Linked DNA regions of Lepisosteus oculatus. The protein of the gene in region 2 purifies or fractionates together with the protein of the main gene of each other region. This does not show direct contact. Links are inferred from orthologs where the notes say so. Each region holds a gene or a part of one and is shown on either strand. Other genes may lie near its edges.

Region 1 (7,333 bases), on a different chromosome or scaffold from region 2:
GGCACCCGCACTCTGGGACAGCAATGCTAATCACTGTACTTCCATGCTACCCGTCTTAAACTCTTCCCTCCTCCTAAAACTTCTCTTCCGTCTCGAAGACACAACTACAGGACGTGCTGGACTGTGAATCCTGAATCCCAGCAGAGCAGTCCCAGAGCTTGAATTTGAATTTTAGGGAGACGTGGGAAAACGCACATCTAGGGCACAGAAGACATTCTTCCTCCAGCCCCGCGTCAGGGAGTAGAATGTCTTCTGGCGTCCTGAAACGCCACCACAGACGAGTATAAACCCCCCCCCGACACTGAAGCCCTGAGGCCGCGACGAGATGAGTTACTCTTTCTTCTGCTCCTCAGCAGGCTTCTTCTCCTCCTTCTTCTCCTCCTTGCTTTCGGGTTCCTTGCCGTCTCCCTTGGCCTGCCCGTCCTCAGCAGCAGGGGCCGGGGCCGGCGCCGGGGCCTCGCTCTCCTGCTCCTCCCCTGCGGACGCCGACTCCTCGGAGCTGGCGTCGGGCTCTGCGCAGAGACAGGGAGGAAAAAGAGCAAGTCCTGCTTACTCCACCAGTCAAGTGGCAAAAGACGGGCAGAGGAGCTCACTGCCATATGTACATACAAAGTGGAATTCTTATTCACGCTGATCTCTCAGGACATACACGGTACAGCAGACAACGCATCACACTGTAGACGGGGCATTACAAAACAGTACATAACACACAGTGACAACCAGAACAATAAAGATGCTGTAGAGAACAACAAACAACATGGTAGTCCAAGTCAAAGGTGCACAGTGGAGAGGTGCATTCGGTCCTGTGGCACTGCACAGTTAGCTGTTTATGATGCGCACTGCAGCAGGGTAGAGGATGTTCTTAAGATCAGTTTGTGGCCGTGATGACTGGGATCCCCAACGATGAATCGGGCTTTATTGTGACGGCGGATGGGGCGAATCTCATCAACTGATGGCAAATGACATCGGATAACCCTCTGTACCATTGCCACAACCCTTTGTGGAGAAGGACCTTTCCCCATTTTCAACTTATGGAAATTACGGAATGTCCTCCCATTGAGATCAGGATGGCCATGTCCCAGTCCAGTTTCGCTTTTTTATTGTCCTACATGTAAGGCACTATATAACTAAGAACAGATGCGGCCTTGTTCTATACAAGCGTCTCCAGCTGTAGTTTATACAGGGTCAGGAAAACCCCTCCATACACCATTTCCCTCTGTTATATATCCCTTTATCCCCCTCCAGTGGGGGAGATACCTTAAAACAATTCCCATAATCAGAACACAAGAAAGGTCATTGGGCCACTCAGTCTACCACATTCATCCTGGCTAGTATCCTATAGAATGGGGTGTCTAGAGAAACAGTGTCTGCAACGTGGCTTTGCAATTTGTCATGTTAAACCGTATTTTGCTCAGAGGTATACTGATGAAACGCAGTTTAGGGCCAGTGCAAAATTCCTTGCCTTTGTACTTGTCTAGAGAGCGTCTCGTGGCACTGCGACCGAACAGGAGGGCGCCGTTTCTGCCCAGAACCTGCAGAAGGAAGTCAAAGCCCTCGGAAGAAAGGACAGACCCCCTGGGTTGCAGTGGAAGGGGTGTGGGGTGCATGACGCTGGGTGCACCCCGAAGCCCCAGATCCCAGACCCAAACGAGGGCGGCTCACCTGCTGCTGTGGGGTTCTTGGGGGCTGTCTCCTGGGGTGGCGTCCCAGCAGCTCGGCGGATGGGCATGGCTGAAACCTGAAACAGGGGCACAGTGACTGGCAATGAGGAACAGCTCTGGCAACATCCCCAAATCGACACACGGGAGACTCACTGAAAGGTCCTAAACACCTGAGCTGTGCACCAGAAGGAAACTACATCTTGTGTTGCAATATCAGGGCTAATAGACCTTCAGTAAAACCGAAATGTTTAAATTACCTCTTTAAGTGACTGGAATCTAGCTCTTAAGAATCACTGAGTTTAATTACCATTTTTAACACAAACCCCAACGCGGCACAAGGTTTGCTACTGGTGTAAAAATATCTTTGTATAAGTAATAGTACTTTATGCACTTTATAGAAATGCACGTAGCTAGATCTTCTCCTTGCTCAAGGCTAAAATATCTCTCGCTCTATCGCGCTTTTAATTGGTGTGCGTGTTTTAAGAAAAAGCAACAATAAAAAAAGATTAGAATACTGTATGCTGGTGTAAGAAATATACATTTTTAAAATAAAATTACCAACCAATCATTACCGAAAACCTAAAGACCGCGCAGGCGTACTTAAAAATGTGTCTAGGGCCTATGCAAACAGAAATCCTACCGACTCATTCAAAAACAAACACCGTTAGGAAAAATTAAAAAAAAAAAACAGAAGAATGCTACGCTTATTACTGCCCGTGCACAGCGCACACCTCGGTGGGGATTTTCTTAAGGTTTGGATTCGTACCTCGGTTCTCCACCTCCATCGGGGAGGTGAAAACGGGATAACACAATAACAGAAACAAACTACACCTCCTACAATAAAAAAATGGAAAAATTGGCCATTTTGTCCATTGAACCTATACAGTAATGGCGTTGCAGTGAGCCGATGTTTTTTTTTTTTTAATGCATGAAGTTACAATGCAAAACAGCGTTTGCAAAAACAACAGATGAGAACAACTAATGCATTTCCACCCTGGTTTATTTTCCTCCGTTTCGATACACGCTGCTCCTTTTACTTTCTTACCTTTATTGTACTTGATGTATTTGTTTGTATTCAAACTGTCCTCTCCTTTTATTTAGAATTTGATCAGCACCCCGGCCCCGCCTCCCTGCGTAGGCACGTCACTACGTCGGGCGTCCAGGATCCTCTTCTTAAATTCTGTCCAATCACGGGCTCTCCTCAGTCTCCGGTTCTGCACCATTGTGTGCGATAGTGGCTGTCCGGGCACTGCCGAAGGCACGATGTCTACCACGTTTATATTTACCGAAAAATATGTATTCTGTATGTGTAGCAAATGAAGAGACCCGGCGTAACAGCTACGAGTTTTAAACCGAGTTTTAACTAACCCCTTGCCCATATATGACCGATAAAACCAGAAATTCGAATTCTGGAATGGCTTATAATAACATCTAACGTCAAACGCCTTTGTTCGGTCGCACTTGGATTCGTCTTGAGAGAACATCAAAATAGCCGACCCAATTCGACTTCAATAAAGAGGGAAGGTTGGGATTCTTGTTATAGAGAGCTAGAGTATATAAAAGTTTTGCCCCCTTCCTCCGGAAAAAAAAAGTCATTTATTTTTCTAAAATACCATTTGACCTAGGTGTGTGTACTGTATGTTACATCAAGTATTGAAATGTTTTAATTTGTCAGATCGCAATAAACTAGCAATACTACTTTCGCAAGAAAATAAATAGGGGTCAGTAGGGGTCTCCGGGCACTCGTAACTACAGATGTGCTCCTTTACAAATCCATGCCCACAATCTGCCGCATTATTTTCATCAACCTCCGCTCAAAGTCATAAGCCTGTCACATGGAACACAATGACAGCAGTCTTGCGCGACAGCTACCTCCGGATTGATGCGTGAGAATCCCCGCTGTGATTAACTCTTCACCTTAAAAACCCAAGTATCTCCGACCCTAGCAGCGATGAAGCAAGCGGTTAGCCGGCATGTCCCGGTTTGCTGAAGTTTATGGAAGCAGAAACGCGATACAAAAAAAAGGAACAATAGGTTTATTCCATGCTGAAAAAAAGAAGAAAGAGAACACAACGTTTTGGTCGTGGAGCCTTCTTCAGGTGTGCAAGAAGGCTGAAGAAGCACACCTGAAGAAGGCTCCACGACCAAAACGTTGTGTTCTCTTTCTTCTTTTTTTCAGCATGGAATAAACCTATTACTTGTTCCTTTGCAGCCTACGCATGCTGACGCAGCTACCCACCTGAACTACAAAAAAAAAAGGCACGCATACTCGTCATGCTCAAGCCACTAAGAACCTAAAATTAAGATGCAAGTCCACCGCTTCAGAGGGCATGAATTCGTTAGCAAAAAAGACACTTTACTATGGATGCATACAGGATAAAAATGAGTCCAGCTGCTGAGTCCAAGTCAGGGTCGCGGGGGAGCCGGCACATATCCCGGTAACCCAGAGGCGCAAGGCTGGATACACACTGCATGGGTCACCAGTCAACTGCAAGGCAGACAGAGACTCGCACACACTCACACCAGAGCCAGCTGTCCCCAGAACTAACCACTTAACCTACCAGTGTGTCTTGGGACTGTGGGAGGCAGCTCCCGGAGGAAACCCACACACATAAGGGGAGAGCATGCAAACTCCACACAGATTACACTCCAGGACAGGCGCAGGCAGGCAACAATGCTAACCACTGCGACCACAAAGACGCAAAAAAAAAAAAAAGGATGTTGAATGTTTAAGTACATTAAGTACTACTGAGGTGAAGTCATCAACCATTGAGTACAGACTCATCTGGTCCATTTGTGCTCTGGGGATTCATACACAGCACTTTTCAAGTGCTTCACGGAACACTTCTTATTTAACAAACATCTCAGATGCAGAACAGATGACCCTGTTTTGGTTCTGACCATAAAACCTTCCTATTCATACTTCGTCCTCATGAAAAAAAAAATATAGTAGTGTGGTTCCATTTGTTTTACATTGAATTCGATCTACTGAAAATGAAAGTGTTTTCAAATTAATGCATACAACAAATACACTTATAGCAAGTCATTTTATAAATGGAAAACGTTTCTCATGACCTTCACAGATATTTGCGAATGTAAGGACTTGATATTTTGCTGATAAAGGAAGGTTAAGGGAATTGAAAATCATATTTTACTATTGAGGACAAGTCTTTTGTAAAGTTTGTCAGGGATATACCTAGTGAAAACATTTGGGGTTCAAATCCTAGATAAGGCACTGCTGTAATCCTACCTTTAGCTTATTAGAGGAATTGTTCCAGATGTCAAGATGACAAATTTAAGCTGCTTTGGACAAAATTATCAGCCAAATCAATAACTGTTTAACCCAATACCCACAAATAGAACTGTACCATATTCAATACAAAGCAAAATATATAACTATAAAAATGTTTAACATAGCTAATCTTATGTATTGTAAAGCTAACAGTACTCACAGGCTCCTATGATGGCGACTACTTCAGTGCTGAAAGTTGTAAATGACGTTCAAGGGCTTCCTTGCTCTTCAGTCATCTTATTTTGTACTGTATATTGAGATTTGTCTTGATATTTTCCCATACTCAGGAGTAACTGTTTAAAACCCAGTTTCTAATATGTAATTGTAAACAAACTGATACAAACCTTATGAAGTCAGGTACTCCAACAGTATATGTTCAACAACATCCTGAGGAACACCACACATGAAGTGTGATCACCCATGGGACAGGATTACAAATCTGGAGGTTCTCCCAACAGCGAAAACAATCCGCACTGGGACTGTATCCAATATCAAATACAGGGTCATGGGGGGGCTGGGGCCTATCGCCAGCAAGCAACAGGCTCAAGGCAGGATACACCCTGGACAAGAGGCCAGGTCACCACACACCCACCGCCATCTTCCACGCACACATAGCTGAAATGAGAACAGTGGAAGCAAGGCCATATGAGCAAACCTTACGAAGACGGCAGGAAGAGCAGCCTGTGTTTCAGCGCAACCAAGCCCTGTGAGGGGGAGCCGGCTGTCTCAGATCCATTTGGCACTCTACAGGCCTTTCAAGGAAGACGGGGATACATGATTTATGACTGCAAGGAAAAGGCACCACTGTCCCACTGCTATTTTAACAACTAAAGACCAACAAAGACTTTGTTTTTGGTGTGTCCAAGTATGGTTAGTAATCTCATTATCCAGTGTCAAATCCAAACACTTAACAGATTTACAATCATAGTGCCGCTACAATGCAAATCCCTGCATCATATGCTTCATAATTCTGGGGGAAATCATAAGCCATTACCTCCAGTTGCTTGTACCACTGCTGTGGAAAACCCTTGAAGTGCATTTGACAATACTGAACACAGTATGTTTCCATTGTCAACTGGATTGACTGTGAAATACACCACTACTTTCCTGGAAGTCTTCAGCTGCTGTACCTGCTGTTCCTGACCGAACAATTTTGTCTCAAACAATATGGGAGACTTGTTTACCATCAAAACAATACCTAATAAGGATTGACTTACACTTCTCTTCCAGAAGTGTGCAAGAAATGGACCACACTGATGTTTCATTTAGTTTTTTTAAATATCTTTTTTCTTTAATGTATTTACAAGCTTTAAATTTGCTCTATAAGTCTGAAGTATTACAAGCACTTTATGTTCAGCAACCATACGTTATTTGATTTTTGTACAAGTTGCTGTCTGTACGTTCACTTAATTCTTAATTCTTCATTGTTGTTCATTTGAAGTTCTTGCAGACTGTATTGTCTTCTGAATGCGGATTTCTGCCCGTTTGGAGGATAATATACATATCACTTAGAGCAAGCCAAAGCAGAAGGAAGAGTTTTTGTGGTTATTTAATAATAACCTTTAATCTCTGATGTCTTTTAAACATCTGCCCTTCCTGTGTCTCCCCCCCACCACCCACTGACCCACCCACCCCCCTCCCCAAAAGAGCATTTCTTTACCCTGTTTTTCACCAAACAGTTTGGAATCCAGGGAGGCAATTATTCTTTCACGATTATTTTTTATCGTCCGCGCTCGTCTCCTTCTCGTGAGCATCTGCAAATGTTAAATAAACTTCCATATTTGCAGTCCTTAAAAAAATAATAAATTAAAGAGTTCAGAACCTATTTGTCTTTGTTGCACAGAAATTGGTTTTAAAGTCTTTCTTAAAAAGTAACAAAAGAAGGTTTTAAAATTTAAAACAAAAATATTTTCTATAAATAATACATGTTTAGTGCTCTCGCCTGTGAACTCAAACTCAAATTGCTGCAAGTCTTAGAACCGTACCATGAAGTTTTCAACCTTTTTTCATCTATCTGTGCATGTTTTTTTTCATTGTGTTCAGCAACAATTGGCCTTTCTGCACTAATTGGCGAAGATTCTCTCCTCTCGTCAATTATCTTCCGATTCCTCTTCAGCTTCCCTAAGCCATGTGAAAAAGGCTGTGACTGACTTCAGCGCTACTCCCTTGCCCAGCTGCTCAGCAGGGTCCTTGCTCGACTCCCATTTGTAGAAAGCATCTTCTGAGATCACGTCTTCATCGTACAAACAGTCAAAAAACATCCGTAGCAAATCTGAAAATGAAAAGCAAAGAAAACAGACTTTCTGAATTTCCTCATTCACACTTGAATTTTTATCAGTTGTCATTTTAGGACACTTCAGAGATGCAGCAGCTGAAAGGA
Region 2 (7,078 bases):
AGCCATAGGGGCTGTCTGATCTATGCAGCAGCTTCTTCCTTTTAGCTGGTTTTGCTGATCAATATATTGTAAAGGAAGAATCCGTCTGTGAACTAGAATCCTTTTAAGTTATGTCAGGGTCATAAAGCCGAACCACTGGAATCTGAATAACAGTAGGTCCAACAAGTTTGCTTTTTACCATACTTAGTTTAACACAAAAAAGACAACTAACCACGTATACTGTACGTTGGTCTACATTTTTAGGGTCCTCTCCGAGCGGGTGCTGTCTTCGGATTTGAGTTCCTTCTAGGTTCACCTAAAGAAATTAATTATTGAATAGATTATTCACATGCACCACAACACCTCACATTTAACCATTATTTCTCTCAGTCAAGAGGTTAAGGATTAAAGGAAATATGTACAGAGGCTATAAAACATACAATATTATTTAAAGGCTTTGAAGACACACCCTAAGCTGATCTGTAAGGTTGTAAGGGAAGACATGAGAAGTGACTACATTGAGGAACATTTTCTATTAAAATATAACTCCAAGAATTCAGGAATTGTTCAGAAAATAATATTAGCTCACTTTTGTCGTTTTCGAAAATGTTTTAACCAACTTCGTTAGTCCAATTTTATTTACAATCTCTTAAATGCATGAAGAAGAATTCCCTCATGCATTCCCGTGAGACCCAAGACATGTCATCTTTAGGGGGAAAATAAGATTTTAGCCGCAGAATATTAAAGCTCATACACTCAAAATTTGCGACTGGCGTTTTCAGCCTTTTGGATCAAGATGTGATTAAATTGTAACATAGATTCAAGAGCTGACATGATTTTGAATGGCATTTATATCACTGTAAATACTTCTTTATTTCTTCTACAAAAGGTTTATAATGGAAAACAACTTACCTCTACTACAGGCGAATTTTTCAGAGCTCTTGCAATTAATTTCACATCAGTTGTCAACTTTTTCATTCGGTTGAAAGACGTTAACACAGAAATATCTATGTCTGTAAAGAATTATAACAGAGGTTATTGAAGAAGAACTGCAAGGATAAACAGTCATGTTTATTCCATTTAAAAATAAATCACACCTATAGTATGTAGTCTCTTTAGGTCTTTCCATAAGTATATTAAAATGCATAGTCGAATGATTAAAGTGAGCAGATTGCCATTTCCTCATTCTGGCCCCTTAAACGTCTTAGCACTCCTGCACAAATATCAGTATTTAAGAACTCAGGAGGAGCAAAAAACAGAAGATAGACTGATCTCCTAGGCCCAAGTTTCGGAACCACTCTTAAAACACATTTGCCTTGAAACTGCTAAACCGACAAGCATTAGACCACCAGTTAATGGAAATACTGATGTGGTGCAAGAAATTCACTGAATGCTTTAACATCAGGAAAGTGTTTAACTACTTTACATAATATTTAAGTGCTTTGTATTACAGGAAGGCAAAGTAAATCATCACAAAGCTCTAAACTCGGTAACAAATATTTTTAAAACAAGGCAAGTACTGTATATGGGCACTTGTGTCATATCCCTATATACTGTACACCAAATACACATGAGTAAATGCATTTTACGTTATAACTTAGAATATGTGTTATATACAAGAAAAACAGACATTATAAGAAAAATCTCTAACTTGCCGTTTGTGCATTGGAAGGGTTTAATGATTAAAACATTGCTGAATCTAATCTGGAAGACAAAGATAATACAGAACACTCACATCCATCCCTGGATTTCTCCAGAAGTTCTCTTAAAAATTTGTCTTTGTAGAGATTGACATCACCAAACCAAAACTCCACTTGCTTTTTCACATCAGAAAGGAGCTGTTTCACTCTCGATCTCTTTTTTTTCTCTTTTTCTTTCTTTTTTTCACTGCAGTCCCCCTTGATGCTGTCACTTCCCGCTTGTTTACTCTCTGTGTCAATCATTTCTGCCACTGTAAAGAAATTGCAGAATTATTTTCAGTTACTGTACTGTACTTACATTATACAGTTGGTGTCTGTATGCTGAGGTTATCTTTAGTTCTTTCCACGGAAAGGTTAGCATAAACTCAATCTCTGATTTTCCCCCTAAAGATGACATGTCGTGGGAATTCTTCCTCATGCATTCTACAATGAACAATTTCACGATAAGTACATTGAGTGTTATTTTTAATTAAAACTTTATTGTAAGTATTAACTAATAACTAAATCAAGACGTTTCCAGATGACCGATTCATTACCCGAAGCACAGCACATTATAGTTTTTAGGGATAATTCTGATTTTACAGTTGCAAAAATAATAATAATCTTAGAATAAATAAATAAATAAATAATGGTACATATATAAAATAATGCTAAAAGTACCGATTTCTAAACGGCTTCTTAAAGTGGTTAAATATTACCTACAGAACTTTCCAGTTTGTATGGATTGTTATGTGTTTAAAGCGAAAAAAATTAAAACATTATCTTCAAAAACGATTTGTTTACGCTTCTGTTGCATGAATCAAACAGCCCAACAACACCCGTGCTATTCTTGCACATAAGAGTCCTGTTATTTTGTTTGCAAACACTCTCGAGTAACGGAGAAAACGCCCCTTCTAAAAGTAATCACTAGTTTACCAAACGTGCGATTTAACATTTTCATTCAAAACTGCAAAACGACGTATTACCATGAATCGTCTTTACCACATCGCACGAAACACAAGCGAAACATTACAGTCTTCTTATTTTGTACTCACAAGCACATACAGTACCAGTCCGCCGCAAATCCTTTGAAACTCAGACTATTTCCCCCTCACGCGGCCAGGGAGAAGGACCTTTCGCACATTTTTCCAAAATTCTCACTGACTAACAAAAGCCAACACAATAACTTAAAATATTTCAAAGCAATTGTGACCCTTTTTAGTTTCAGTATATTATTTGTCTTTTAACAAAGAAGCGTATTTGTTTCCATCAATCAGATGTTTTACCTTTAACTGATTCAGGCGCTTTCTGAGGAAGTGGACTGTCGCTACTCGATGACGTTTTACCCGCGGGTAATATGAACAATTCTCGTCCCGCTTTTATCGTTCTTGACTCAGCAAGGCTTGATAAGACTGTATTCAAACAGTCAGCTTGCGTTTTCAGGCTCTCTTATCAAGCAAAATTGACTCAGAGAACAGAACGGTAGACAAGAAATCTTACCGTTATAAAATCTTACGGGAGCGCATATTTTGCAAAATATGTTTTCCTACAAATGTAATTATTCATATTTTGTAATAAATAACGTCGACCTTCAAAATGACAGCAAACTCCTAAAAGTACTATCATAAAGCAGTTTTAGCAAATTAAACGAAACTAAAAAATGCTATATTCTCCAGTTGTTACTCACGGAAATTGTTTTCTTTATTGATATACAGTATTTAGGTTCAAAGACAGTTCTACTTTTAAACAGGACATTGAAGTATCGACCTGTTATTCTCCCTCCATTCAAAGTTTTATTTGCATGTAAAACATTTTAGATATCATTTGTGGATAAGTGGGGGTTCTGCTACTAATATGTATTACTGGGTGAATAATGTTCTATGGGGATAAGAACACACTTTGAGCGATGCCTTAAATAAACTGGAAGTCTGAAACAGCTTTTGCATATCTACATAGAAGACAACTAGAGGAGCAAGTCCTCTGAATGCAGAAACACGCTGAAAAAAACAGTCTCTTTGACTTGGTTAGAATCAAACGTGAATCACAAGCCAGAGGACACAACTGGAAACTACAGAATCTACAGGAAAGTGCATTTACAACTTACAGCTCGGGCTTCTTTCTTGAAACAGGTGGATGAGAACTTCGAATTACTAAACTACTAACAACCAAATGCCCTGAAGGTCATTGATGAACATTTCTCATGCTCTTATGATTAAAATGCATGGGATATAATTTTGAGATACAAAAAATAACTTATCAATTATTTCAACATATCAAACATATCTGGGAAACAATGAAAAGTGATATTTTAAAGATTCTCTTCAGGTTGATTTGTTAGCATTATTAACACTTGGAGTGGTGGCACTGTTGCTAAGGCTCTGTATCCGGGGCTGGAAGGTTGCCTGTTCAAATCCTACAGCTGGCAGAGGAATCCTACTCTGTTGGGCACATGAGCAAGGCTCTTAACCCCAACTGCTCCAGGGGTGCTGTATAAATGACTGACCCTACACTCTGACCCCAAGCTTCTCTCTCCCTATCTGTGTGTCTAATGGAAAGCAAGCTGGGGTATGTGAAAAAGACAAATGCCTCATGTAAGAAATTGTATATGGCTGATAAAGTGATCCTATCTCTTATCATATTTTGATAAATTATAGCAATACATTTGTTAATAAAAAGGTACATTTAACTAGACTGCCACCTAGTGTCTTAGATGTCTAGAAATTCTGTTTTATTGAGGTCTGGTGGTTCCCTAAAGCATTAGATTCTCAATTTGGCTAAGAAACTGTGGTGTTAATGAGAGAGAGGGGACACAGCATTCTAAACCATGGGGTTTATTTTCAACAGTAAAAACCCAAGAGATAATTAACAAAAGAAAGATACATGAATAAAACATCTTCTCTTAATAAATATGTGCTACCATTAAATTTCGAAAAAAGAAATCATTATATTCATGTCGCACCAAATTAACCACACACCAATGACATCTATTTACAGATAAAAAAAAACCTAGTCTAAAAGCAAGACAAATCTACTCACATCACACAGAAATCATTTTGCAGAGCAGAAAGCGAGCATGAAATAATCTGGAAGATTAACGCAGAAACCAGGTTTACCCCATACAGCCTAACCTATTAGCAAGAATATTTTCTCTTAGTCTCCGAACACACTACTCAACTGGAGACCCTTCAACAGAAATAGCTTATTCTAGTGAAAGAAGGCCAAAAAACAAACATGCTCGCTGCAGTGCACGTGCATGTTTGTGTGTTCTCTGAGATGAAGACATGTCCTGTCGAGGGTGTTTCCTGCCTGTTGTCTTCCAGAATGGACTTTGACTTTATCCACAATTCTGCACTGGATAAAGATAGATACTTTATTGATCCCGTGAGGGAAATTGCAGTGCAACAGCAGCTTAGCACAGTCAACACAGGACAGTGTAACGAAATGATACAACAATACAATACAGTCAGTACAATCAGTGAGAAGTGCACTAAAAAGAGTTGCTCACAGTACAGAATATACAAAAACCAGAACAGTACACAAAAAGTTGTATTGCAAATTATAAATATAAATACATAGAAAGCGGTTAGACAATGGATGGACAGAAATAAAACTGTTTAGCATTGTTATTGTGAATGTACACATCACGTGTGTAATAACCGAATTAGATTTAAATTCTAATGTCACCAATGTTAGCCAATAGCCATATCACCCTGCAACTCACAACTGGCAGCCCACTGAAACTAAGCGGGTGTGAGCCTGGTCAGTACCTGGGAGACCTTACCCTGCAGTCCATGTGGGTCCTAATGCCCCAGTATAGTGACGGGGACATTATACTGTAAACAGGCGCCGTCCTTCAGATGAGATGTAAAACCGAGGTCCTGACTCTCTGTGGTCATTAAAAATCCCAGGGTGTTTCTCGAAAAGAGTAGGGGTGTAACCCCAGCGTCCTGGCCAAATTTCCCATTGGCCCTTCCAATCATGGCCTCCTAATAATCCCCCTCTATGAATTGGCTACATTACTCTGCTCTCCTCCCCACTGATAGCTGATGTGTGGTGAGCGTTCTGGCACACTATGGCTGCCGTCGCATCCAGGTGGATGCTGCAAATTGGTGGAGGGGAGTCCCCATTACCTGTAAAGCGCTTTGAGTGGAGTGTCCAGAAAAGCGCTATATAAGTGTAAGCAATTATTATTATTATTATTATTATTAACCCTGTAATTAACTTGGATCTTCTTTGCTTATTTACCAGAAGATAAAGAGTCTGAAAGTATTTAGTTTAAACTTTTAAACAGACAAAGACTGGTATTCAATTATTTAAAGCCATACACAGTATGAAGTTTGGTTAGGGTGGATACCATCTTAGAAATATATTCACACTAGACTGAAAAAGAAAAAAAATACTTTCCCAGAATATGACAATACAGGGAACAAAGTACTATACAGTATGTAGGGATTTATTTGTTTAATTGTTCAAATGTGATGTGCACTTTCTGAGCCTTGCATATCATTTTGCTTTTTACTATATTTGATCTGTAAATCAAAAGGATAAAATTGTTTCAAACTTTTCTAGTTTTTTTCGGATACTGTCATCATTGCACTGAGCAATTCTGGATCTGACCAGGTGTTTCAACTTTGTGTACCACTGCTGTACCCAACATATTTCCAGGTTTAGAATGGAAACATTACAGACTTTACAAAGAAAGTTAACAAGTTTCTCATCACTGTTCACTTCACACCTCTGTAGAACCCATTTGCCCCACTCTTGCCAAAATGCATCATCTGTGAAGTTGATGACAAAGAATCTTTCAGGAGAGATGCTCCTCAGTTTGTCCTCTTCTTCTTTGTCCACTTCATTCCAAACTGCGCTGAAACAATGCCAATTTGGATGATAAAGTGATTCACTTCTGTTGTTTTTCAGGTTGATCAAAAATGTTAATTAGTAAGGTTTATTATCCATGCTGCCATTTATTTCCTTACTGTTTCATTCAATTTAGGGTTGTGGGGGAGCTGGAGCCTATCCCAGCAAACAGTGGACAAAGTCTGGGAACACCCTGGACAGCACAATAGTCCGTCACATTACAGACACAAAAACACTCTCATCAGTGACAATTATCCTAGAAGCAATTAATCTACCAGGATGTCTTTGGACTGTGGGAGAAAACCAGGTATGAAATCCCACACAAACATGGAGACCACATAAAAACTCCACACAGATGGCGCCCCAGGCTCAGAATTGAACCCAGAACCCCAGCACTGCAAGGCCGAAGTGCTATTTAGGTTCATCATTGTAATTAAAACACACTGAATGATTACTCAATTAAAACCTCTAGGCTCTGACTCCCCTGTGACCCTGTATTGGATAAACAGTTTAGAAAATGGATGGATGAATGGCTAAAACATTCAGGATTTGACCACAATGAA
Region 3 (7,419 bases), on a different chromosome or scaffold from region 2:
GCACGCTGACTTTAAAACTCTTCAACTCTTTGATTTTGTATCGGTTCTATCATCTGCAGAAAGCCCTTAAGAAACAGATTTGTTAAGGCAAGAATTATTTTTAAAGTATGCTACAACAGGGCCATAATTTGGATTCCTTGGACTGTTTGATGCCCTGTCCCCTTGGATTAGTGGTTAAGATTTGGTCAAACCCAAGCTTAGGCATTTCCCCTTCACGAACAAGTCCATCGGGCTCCAGGCAAATTCGTTTGTGACTTTTGTGAGTTGTGACTACCACAGAACACAAGGTAATGTTTTAAACAGTGTAAGGTATTTCTGCTTTTGGTGTGTTCTTTGTTTACCTGCATTGACTGTTGATTACACTAGAGACCTGACAGTATCAAACCCACCCTTGACAAACAGGTACTCACTCATTACATTACAGAAAGGAGCTGTGCATAATCAATTGAGCTTTGCATTAACTGGGGAGATATAGGCCAACACAAGTTGTCTGCTGAAATAATTAGCTTGGAAATAATGTGTACGCACTATAGTAAAGAAATCTTTGGCTAATGGAGAACTTCAGAACTGTAGTTTATGAACTAAGTTCATACTGCCATTTGTTATGGATTATTTTATCCTTGCTTGGCTTCTGGGAAAATTGGCCTTAGATGTGAGTGTGTCTGTCTTTGTATCTGTTTGCCCTCCTATGGCCTGGTTAACGTCCTGTCCAGGGTGGATGCCGCCTTGCTCCCTGTAACTTGCTGGAGCAGACTCCGACTCCGACCCAGAATTTTAAGAAGCAGTTAGGAAATGGAGGGATGATGGTAGGTGGGCCCAGCCAGGACACTAGGGAAACACTCCTACTCTCACACAGGAATGGCAGAGTAATCAGGACCTGAGTGTAACATCTCCTCCTAAGGCCGGCGCCTGATACACCACAGTGCCCTGGCTTCCAAGCATTGGATTCACAATGGGGAAGAGTGCCCCCTACTGGCCTGCAGCCATGCTATTTTCCTTAAAAGTCTCCCATCCCAGTACTGACTAGACTCAGCGCATTCTGAGATAATGGCTGTAGGGGGGGGAACATTGTCATTTGTAAGAGTTGTTACTTTCGGTGTTTGTTCGTCACTTCAGCATGTTTAGAACTGTAATCACAATTTAAGCTAGTATCACTGTAAGATGAAGCGTGGTCTCCAATTAACAGTGCTTCTGTAACTGTAATATTATTTCTGACAGGTCCTGGGTCTAATGGGAAGGTGCAGTTTCCTTGCCATTTGCTGCACCCAGTTCTTCTCTATGATTAAGTTTTAGCCAGTGGCTTCTGGGTGTTGTCTTTAGCGGAGCTGCTTAAGTTTCAGCCTGGATGACAGAAGAGAGTCACCTTAGTCCTCTGTCTTCATGACCTTTTCTCCTGTGTGTTTCCAGTGGATGACAGTGCCATACTGGATTGCCAGTTCAGCGACTTCTACCACACGCCACCCCAAGGGTTTGAGAAGATCCTGTTCGAGCAGCAGATCTTCTAAAAAAAAAAAAAACACTGCCTCTCGTGAACGCACCTGCACTCTTCCAAAGCTCTCTGTCTGTGTGTTTCTCTGAAGCTCTGTGACTTGTATCATTGTCCGGTTTGTATGGAGTTCTCCTGTGAAAGCTTTATGTTCCAGCCTTGTTCTTCCCAGTGCGCAGTCTGGAGATCAACTGGAAGACCCTAGGTGTTAAAGTACTCCAACGTCTCAGTGTGGACCAGGCTTTGTTGCTATATTTAAAAGAAAGAAAACTGCACTGATAGTGTCGGCCCTGCTCTTCAAGTCCCGTGTAAAAAGCAGTGCAGATTTCTAGTAGTAGCAGTGAAAAACACTAGGTTTATATTGTCAGCAGTCTTGACTGAGCCCCTTTGATGTAGGAATGAAACTTTCTCTCTTGCACCATGTTGGGAATAATTTCTGCACATTGGTTACTGAATTCAGGTGTATAAGATGGTATCGTGTCACTAGTAACTGTTGAAGCCATAGTTATGAAGCCTGTGATACAGTACTGTCTATTGGTGTTGAAATTATTTTGCTTTTTGTTGTAATCTACATTCTACATGTCCACATTGCCTCACTTCTTGAGGTGTTTAACTTGAATTTGACATCATTAATGAAACATTTCTAGTTCCACATATTGGGAGATGGTTCACAAATGCAGTATACTGATAATGAGTTGTCGTTTCACCGATTAGCTCACTGCATAAAGCCGTCTGATGAATATAAAATGTATGTTGTAAAACGCTATAGAACTTTTCACTGTTGATTTTCCTTTCACATAAACCCCCCAATATCTCTTTTTTTCTCCCCCTCTCAAACCTTGTTTTGTGACGGAAAAAATAAAATCCAAAATGAATCCTGGACGCCGACAACTTCGCTAAAATAGGTCTCATTAGTTTTGGCTGCCGAAATTCAGGGAGGTCTTTTTCAATAATGAGCACATTTTAAACCGTTCTTTTTCCCCCATTATGGAGACAATTTTTTCCTTTTTCGTTGCTGACATCCGTTTTAAATGTTTCAAAACAATGTTTTGTTTGCACTAATGAAACTTGATGTGTTGAGTATTAAAAATCCAAATGGGTTTTGTTGTAAGTCTACACTAAAATAAAAAATTTGCACCTGGACTAAGGAGTTTCTCAGTTTTGAAGATCATTGGTGTTTGGTTTTAGATCTCACTTCAGTATGCAAGTATTTCGCTGGTTGCCAATATAAATAGCAAGTTGGTTTACTGGCCTTTAAATATGAAAGCTCTCGGGTTTCTGAGCATATTTCTCAAGATCTACAGGGTTTGCTTAGGTTTTATCCTCTCTGGTATGCATGAAGATTATCACAATATTCCAGGTGGCCCTGCCCACAAGCTGCAATTAAATGAAGATTAAAGACATCTCAACTCTTGTTTTCTAATGCATTTTATATTTCCTACATTAAATATGCACAGATGACCAAGATTTTTTTTTCTTGCACTAGCTAACTGAAGTTACTTGCAGAGGGAAGGTGATGAAAGGAGCGGGAGGGGAAATAGAATCGATAGTTTTTTGCCTCCCTGTAACTCTCCATTATCTGGTAGAGTGTACATCCCAGCCTCTAGGGAGCGCACATCGCGTATCTTTTGTCACCCATCCCTCGTGAGGGAGGGGCGGGCTGGGCGCGACCTTGGGCTCCACTTCATCGGGGACGCGCCTCAGTTGCGCGTGTTCTGGGCACGTGTTGCCGTAAGAAAACATTTGCTCAAGCAATCTCTTGTATCCCGGTTTCAAATAATATAGTCAGGCCGGTTTAGGTGTGAGCAGTTATTTTTAAAAAAAAACAAGTCTCGTTTCAACATTAGCATAATGTGCACGGGAATTGTAGGCGAACAAGAAGACGCGTTTGATAGTAGGATCCGGTATCCTAGTGCAGGAATAATTTTAATACAGGCATATCCTGGAATGACAATCGCACATTTCGCTTCTTTTATACAAATCAAGAACTAGTATATACCTTTCAGTATAGTTATATAGTGTGTAGGCTGAAATGTTTACATCACACCTTTAAATTCTCCATGTGCTCAGACAGTATGAGAACCCTGAAAATCATACGTATTGTGAACCGAAAGAAGTTCGTCCGTTGCGTGTTCTAGTTGAAATTGCATTTTTAAATGATTTTAGATTGACAAAGCTATTCGTTTGATTTTTTTTTTTGGAAAATGGGTGTTGATTTGAAAACATTACATATCTTCTCCAGAAAATAATCCTTTAAGCGAATATCTCAATTTTGATAGGTACAGTATGCTCGTCCAAAATACTAGGGTGTATTTCTTGTGCTATCTTTTACTCTGCTGAAGCACATTTTCCCACCTCAAGACACTAAAAATAATCTGGGAACAGTATTTTTAGGTTTGTAACATCTGCTTTTTCTGTATGAAATGTAGGCGCATTTAAAACGTTTCCGTCTGTTGAGGAATTCTGAACTTGAATTCAGTTTAATATTTAACAAAAGACGTCCATAATTTGACATATTTGCTTAAATCTAGCTCTATAAATTGTGAAATTTAACGCCCCATGTTGTGTACTTAGTTGCTTTACTATTCCGTATTGTGCTGTCTGAATTAATATGCATGTTTCCATGGATTCAACGCACCAGATGTGATGCTTTAAAGACACAATTAATCTTTGATATATACGGTGCAATTGAACTCCGTTAAAGACGACACAGCTCGACTGTTAACTTCCTGTAGAGGGAACACCAACATGTATGTAAAGAATCTATGCACCACAACGGTATTCTTGTGTATTTATCGGAACTGTCCATGTTTCTAACTTACGTAAGGCATGCGCACTCTTTATAACGTGAAATACACTGACGCAAGTCTACAAGTAGGCTGGAATAACGACCTCAAAACCCCGTTTGCTGGGGGAGAAAACTCGGGAGCGATCTAGCCAACAGCCGATGTAATCCGCCGGCTAGAGACGCGGGCTAGCTGAAGGCCCTCGCTGTGTTTATATTTGTCGATGCGCACATCCATTGTGCAATCGCACCCCAACCAACAGCTCGCTCGCAGCGCCGGGGCCTCTCTCCGGCTTTCTCCAGCTGCCGAGCGTGGCTCCTCCTTCCCGGCCCTCCTGCCCCGCCGCCTTCCGTTACGTCTGGCCGCCCCCCTCTCCGCTGCACAGCGGACTGTCTCACCCCCTCTCTCTCTCTCTCACTGGAGCTCCGAGCGCCGGACCGCACTCGCACCGAGCACACACAGAGCCATGGCAGAAAACGCCGGCTTGGAGAACCACCGCATCAAGAGCTTTAAAAACAAGGGACGCGATGTCGAGGTAAGGGGGGAGCCCAGGGGATGGCGGCATGGTGGTGGTGGTGGCGGCGGCGCCGCGGCGGGCCCGGCCGGGCCGGTCCGGTCCGGGCTGAACCGGGGTGGGGGCGCGGGCGGTGAGCGGCTGTGCCCTCCGGGCCTTGCGACCGGCTGTGGGTTTTTTTTTTTTTGCTGGATGCTGCTGCTGCTGCTGCTGTTGCTGTTGGGGGTAAGAGGAGCGTTTATTCCGGAACAACCCCCACCGCCGCCGCCGCCACCACCACCATCATCATGCAGTGCGGGCGCGGCCTAAAGGAAAGGCCTTCTCTGTGCCATTAAACCGCGTTTTAATCGTTCCTCCACCGTCTTATGCTTTTCCCTAGTGAAAAAAATAATAATAAAGCGATTAACCTGTGCTTTTCTTCTTTTGGTTTTATTCGGGGCCTTTTTAATTGCTGTGGGGGGAAAAAAAATCTAGTTAGCATCACACTCAGTTGAGCCTCTTTTTTTTTTTCTTTTTGCTCTGCTCTTGGTAATGGTGTTCCTGACAAAACGGTCTACGAAAAATGGGGTTCTGTCCTAGCCTTTTCCCTCCCCTCTCAAATCTTCCCTGATTTGGAGAAAAAAAAAAGCAAAGAGGGGGGGAAAAACGAGACTAGAAAGGAGAGCGTAGCCAAGAGCCGGACTGGCCAAACGGCGCACTTTTCCGCATTTGAAAGGGGCGGCTGTAGCACGCCTTTCCCTGCCCAGATGTAGAAAACCGAGCAGGCCGTAAGCCCTTGACTCGGCTGCAGGGACAGAGACGGCGCCTGACCCAGCCGGCTCCTCAGGCGGCCGGTCGCCGGCGACATGCAGAGTGAATGTGATGGATTGTCATTGTTGAGATCACGATGGGCCCTGTAACATTTGAAACGCAACCTGTGTGCAGCCCGTGAGGGATTGTGCTACTGCGGTAAAAGCCGGCCCCGAAGTCATGGGGTTTTGTAGCTCTGTTGCTGTGTTGTATGCAGGATTGCTTCCGTCCGTGGTTTGATTAGGTTAGGGCACACAACTAGTTTTTAAGGGCCTGGCATGCATATGACGGTAAATGAATACATCAGTCGCTGTAACTCAGGTGCGTTTTCACTTTTTTTTTTTACCTGCGCTGTTTTGGGAGGAGATCTAAGCAATATGTGCGGCACAGTGGGAGAAGATGTAAGGACACAGTTCGTTAGAAAGAGGCATAGCGGTTGGTGCTGATAATTAAGGGACTGGGAGATATGATTGCAGACGTCTCACTGGCGTGCTGAATGAAATTTAAAATTCAAAAAATCGTCTAAGGTGCTAGTGCGGGTGCCTGTTGTTTCAAAGTGCGTTTTGCGTTTAGCTGTTCTGCCTTGAAGTTCGTACATTGAAGCTTTTGCGGTTTCGTTTTACTTTATTGGTGTTACAAATCGGCAAGCAGAGAAGGAACAAACGGGGATTATTCATTCACTGCGCTAACGATTCTTAGCCTGGTTTGATAAGTGTTGCAATACTTGGAAAATGAGGTAAATCCACTTAAGATCTCCAAGGTTTTGCTAATGCTGAGCGTTTTTCGTGGGAGACTAGCGCGATTGCTTTATAATGGCATTGTTTGCACAACTATTTCGCGTGGACACCTCTGATCTCCTGAGATATGTAGGCTCTGTGTCCTGTTCATCACAGCATACACACAAGAACAGCCCTCTTGGGAAACATACAACCTCATCTCAATTTTAGGACATGCCCCTAATTTTAGGTTGGACTGCTGTTTCTTTAGACCAAGATGATTACAGGCTGACCCACATCTGTCGTTTAAAGGGTTGTTGGATGACCATGGCACTGTGCAGTCTTTTCTGACCAGCTCTTGTTTGTCATTTGTTGCCACATCAGGCTCTGAACTTGCCTATTGTAGCAACTGTAGTTACCTGTGTAGTTGTTCAGTCTGAAGCTGTGACAGCTTGACTTTAACATGCCGTCTATGTGTATCTTTTCAATGGTTGTAGAATCTCATCTTTATTTAGAATTGTTTTTTTTGACTGAGCAGTCTTTCTCTTATGGATTTCAGGGACCACCTATGCATTCATGACTTTATGCAGCTGTTTTTTTTTTAAATTGAGCTCATTTTGCCTCATTTGAATCCTTTGGATTGTTTGCGCTCTGGCGCAGTCATGTGTTTCAGGTTAATTTAATAACGGTAGAGCTACCTGAATGCCTCATCTGATGGAAATGGAAGACCTGCTAATCGGGCAAGGTGTTTGGTCAGTTCGGGTACGAAGAAGGTGACTATGGCTGGAGCCGCAGTAGAAACGAAAAGACAAGGTGTATCTAAAACTAGGAGCTGAGAAACCAGGTCCCACAGCTCTGTTTTGCTACAGGAACACTTCCATCACATGGCCGGTGTGAATGTGCAGTTTGTGGAGATGTCATTTCTAATACACTGTACCAGTCCTGATAAAGAGTCCTAGGATTGCGTGCAGTGCATTTATTAACACTTTCTAACTGGAACGCACAGTGGGCTGTTTTTGAGTTCATGCTTTGTTTGTCTCATGATATGATATTTCATGGTATATGGAAACAATATAGCCTTTAATAATGCATTAAGTTCTTTTCAAATAACTCAAAGTGCTGTACGGT

Evidence for each region.
Region 1: the proteins of larp7 (region 2) and hp1bp3 purify together in Homo sapiens (affinity purification with mass spectrometry; 3 studies listed by BioGRID and IntAct, with this or other methods). This does not show direct contact. The link is inferred for Lepisosteus oculatus from reciprocal best matches to the Homo sapiens genes LARP7 and HP1BP3.
Region 3: the proteins of larp7 (region 2) and kpna3 purify together in Homo sapiens (affinity purification with mass spectrometry; 3 studies listed by BioGRID and IntAct, with this or other methods). This does not show direct contact. The link is inferred for Lepisosteus oculatus from reciprocal best matches to the Homo sapiens genes LARP7 and KPNA3.

The regions. Positions count from the first base shown.
Region 1 is NC_090720.1:7,261,682-7,269,014, forward strand, and holds the start of hp1bp3 (heterochromatin protein 1-binding protein 3), read right to left. Parts: upstream 3,014-7,333; 5' UTR 2,707-3,013; intron 2,512-2,706; exon of another isoform or gene 2,428-2,511; intron 1,739-2,427; 5' UTR 1,730-1,738; coding exon 1,663-1,729; intron 513-1,662; coding exon 335-512; intron 1-334. Other genes in the region: eif4g3b (eukaryotic translation initiation factor 4 gamma 3), read right to left, coding at 7,044-7,225. UniProt on the Homo sapiens protein: Component of heterochromatin that maintains heterochromatin integrity during G1/S progression and regulates the duration of G1 phase to critically influence cell proliferative capacity.
Region 2 is NC_090696.1:33,853,106-33,860,183, reverse strand, and holds the start of larp7 (la-related protein 7), read right to left. Parts: upstream 3,016-7,078; 5' UTR 2,945-3,015; intron 2,939-2,944; exon of another isoform or gene 2,645-2,938; intron 1,931-2,644; 5' UTR 1,923-1,930; coding exon 1,715-1,922; intron 993-1,714; coding exon 892-992; intron 296-891; coding exon 212-295; intron 1-211. Other genes in the region: NACHT, LRR and PYD domains-containing protein 3-like, read right to left, coding at 6,195-6,522. UniProt on the Homo sapiens protein: RNA-binding protein that specifically binds distinct small nuclear RNA (snRNAs) and regulates their processing and function.
Region 3 is NC_090710.1:26,351,043-26,358,461, reverse strand, and holds the start of kpna3 (importin subunit alpha-4), read left to right. Parts: upstream 1-4,406; 5' UTR 4,407-4,495; coding exon 4,496-4,807; intron 4,808-7,419. Other genes in the region: spryd7a (SPRY domain-containing protein 7), read left to right, coding at 1,408-1,505. UniProt on the Homo sapiens protein: Functions in nuclear protein import as an adapter protein for nuclear receptor KPNB1. Binds specifically and directly to substrates containing either a simple or bipartite NLS motif.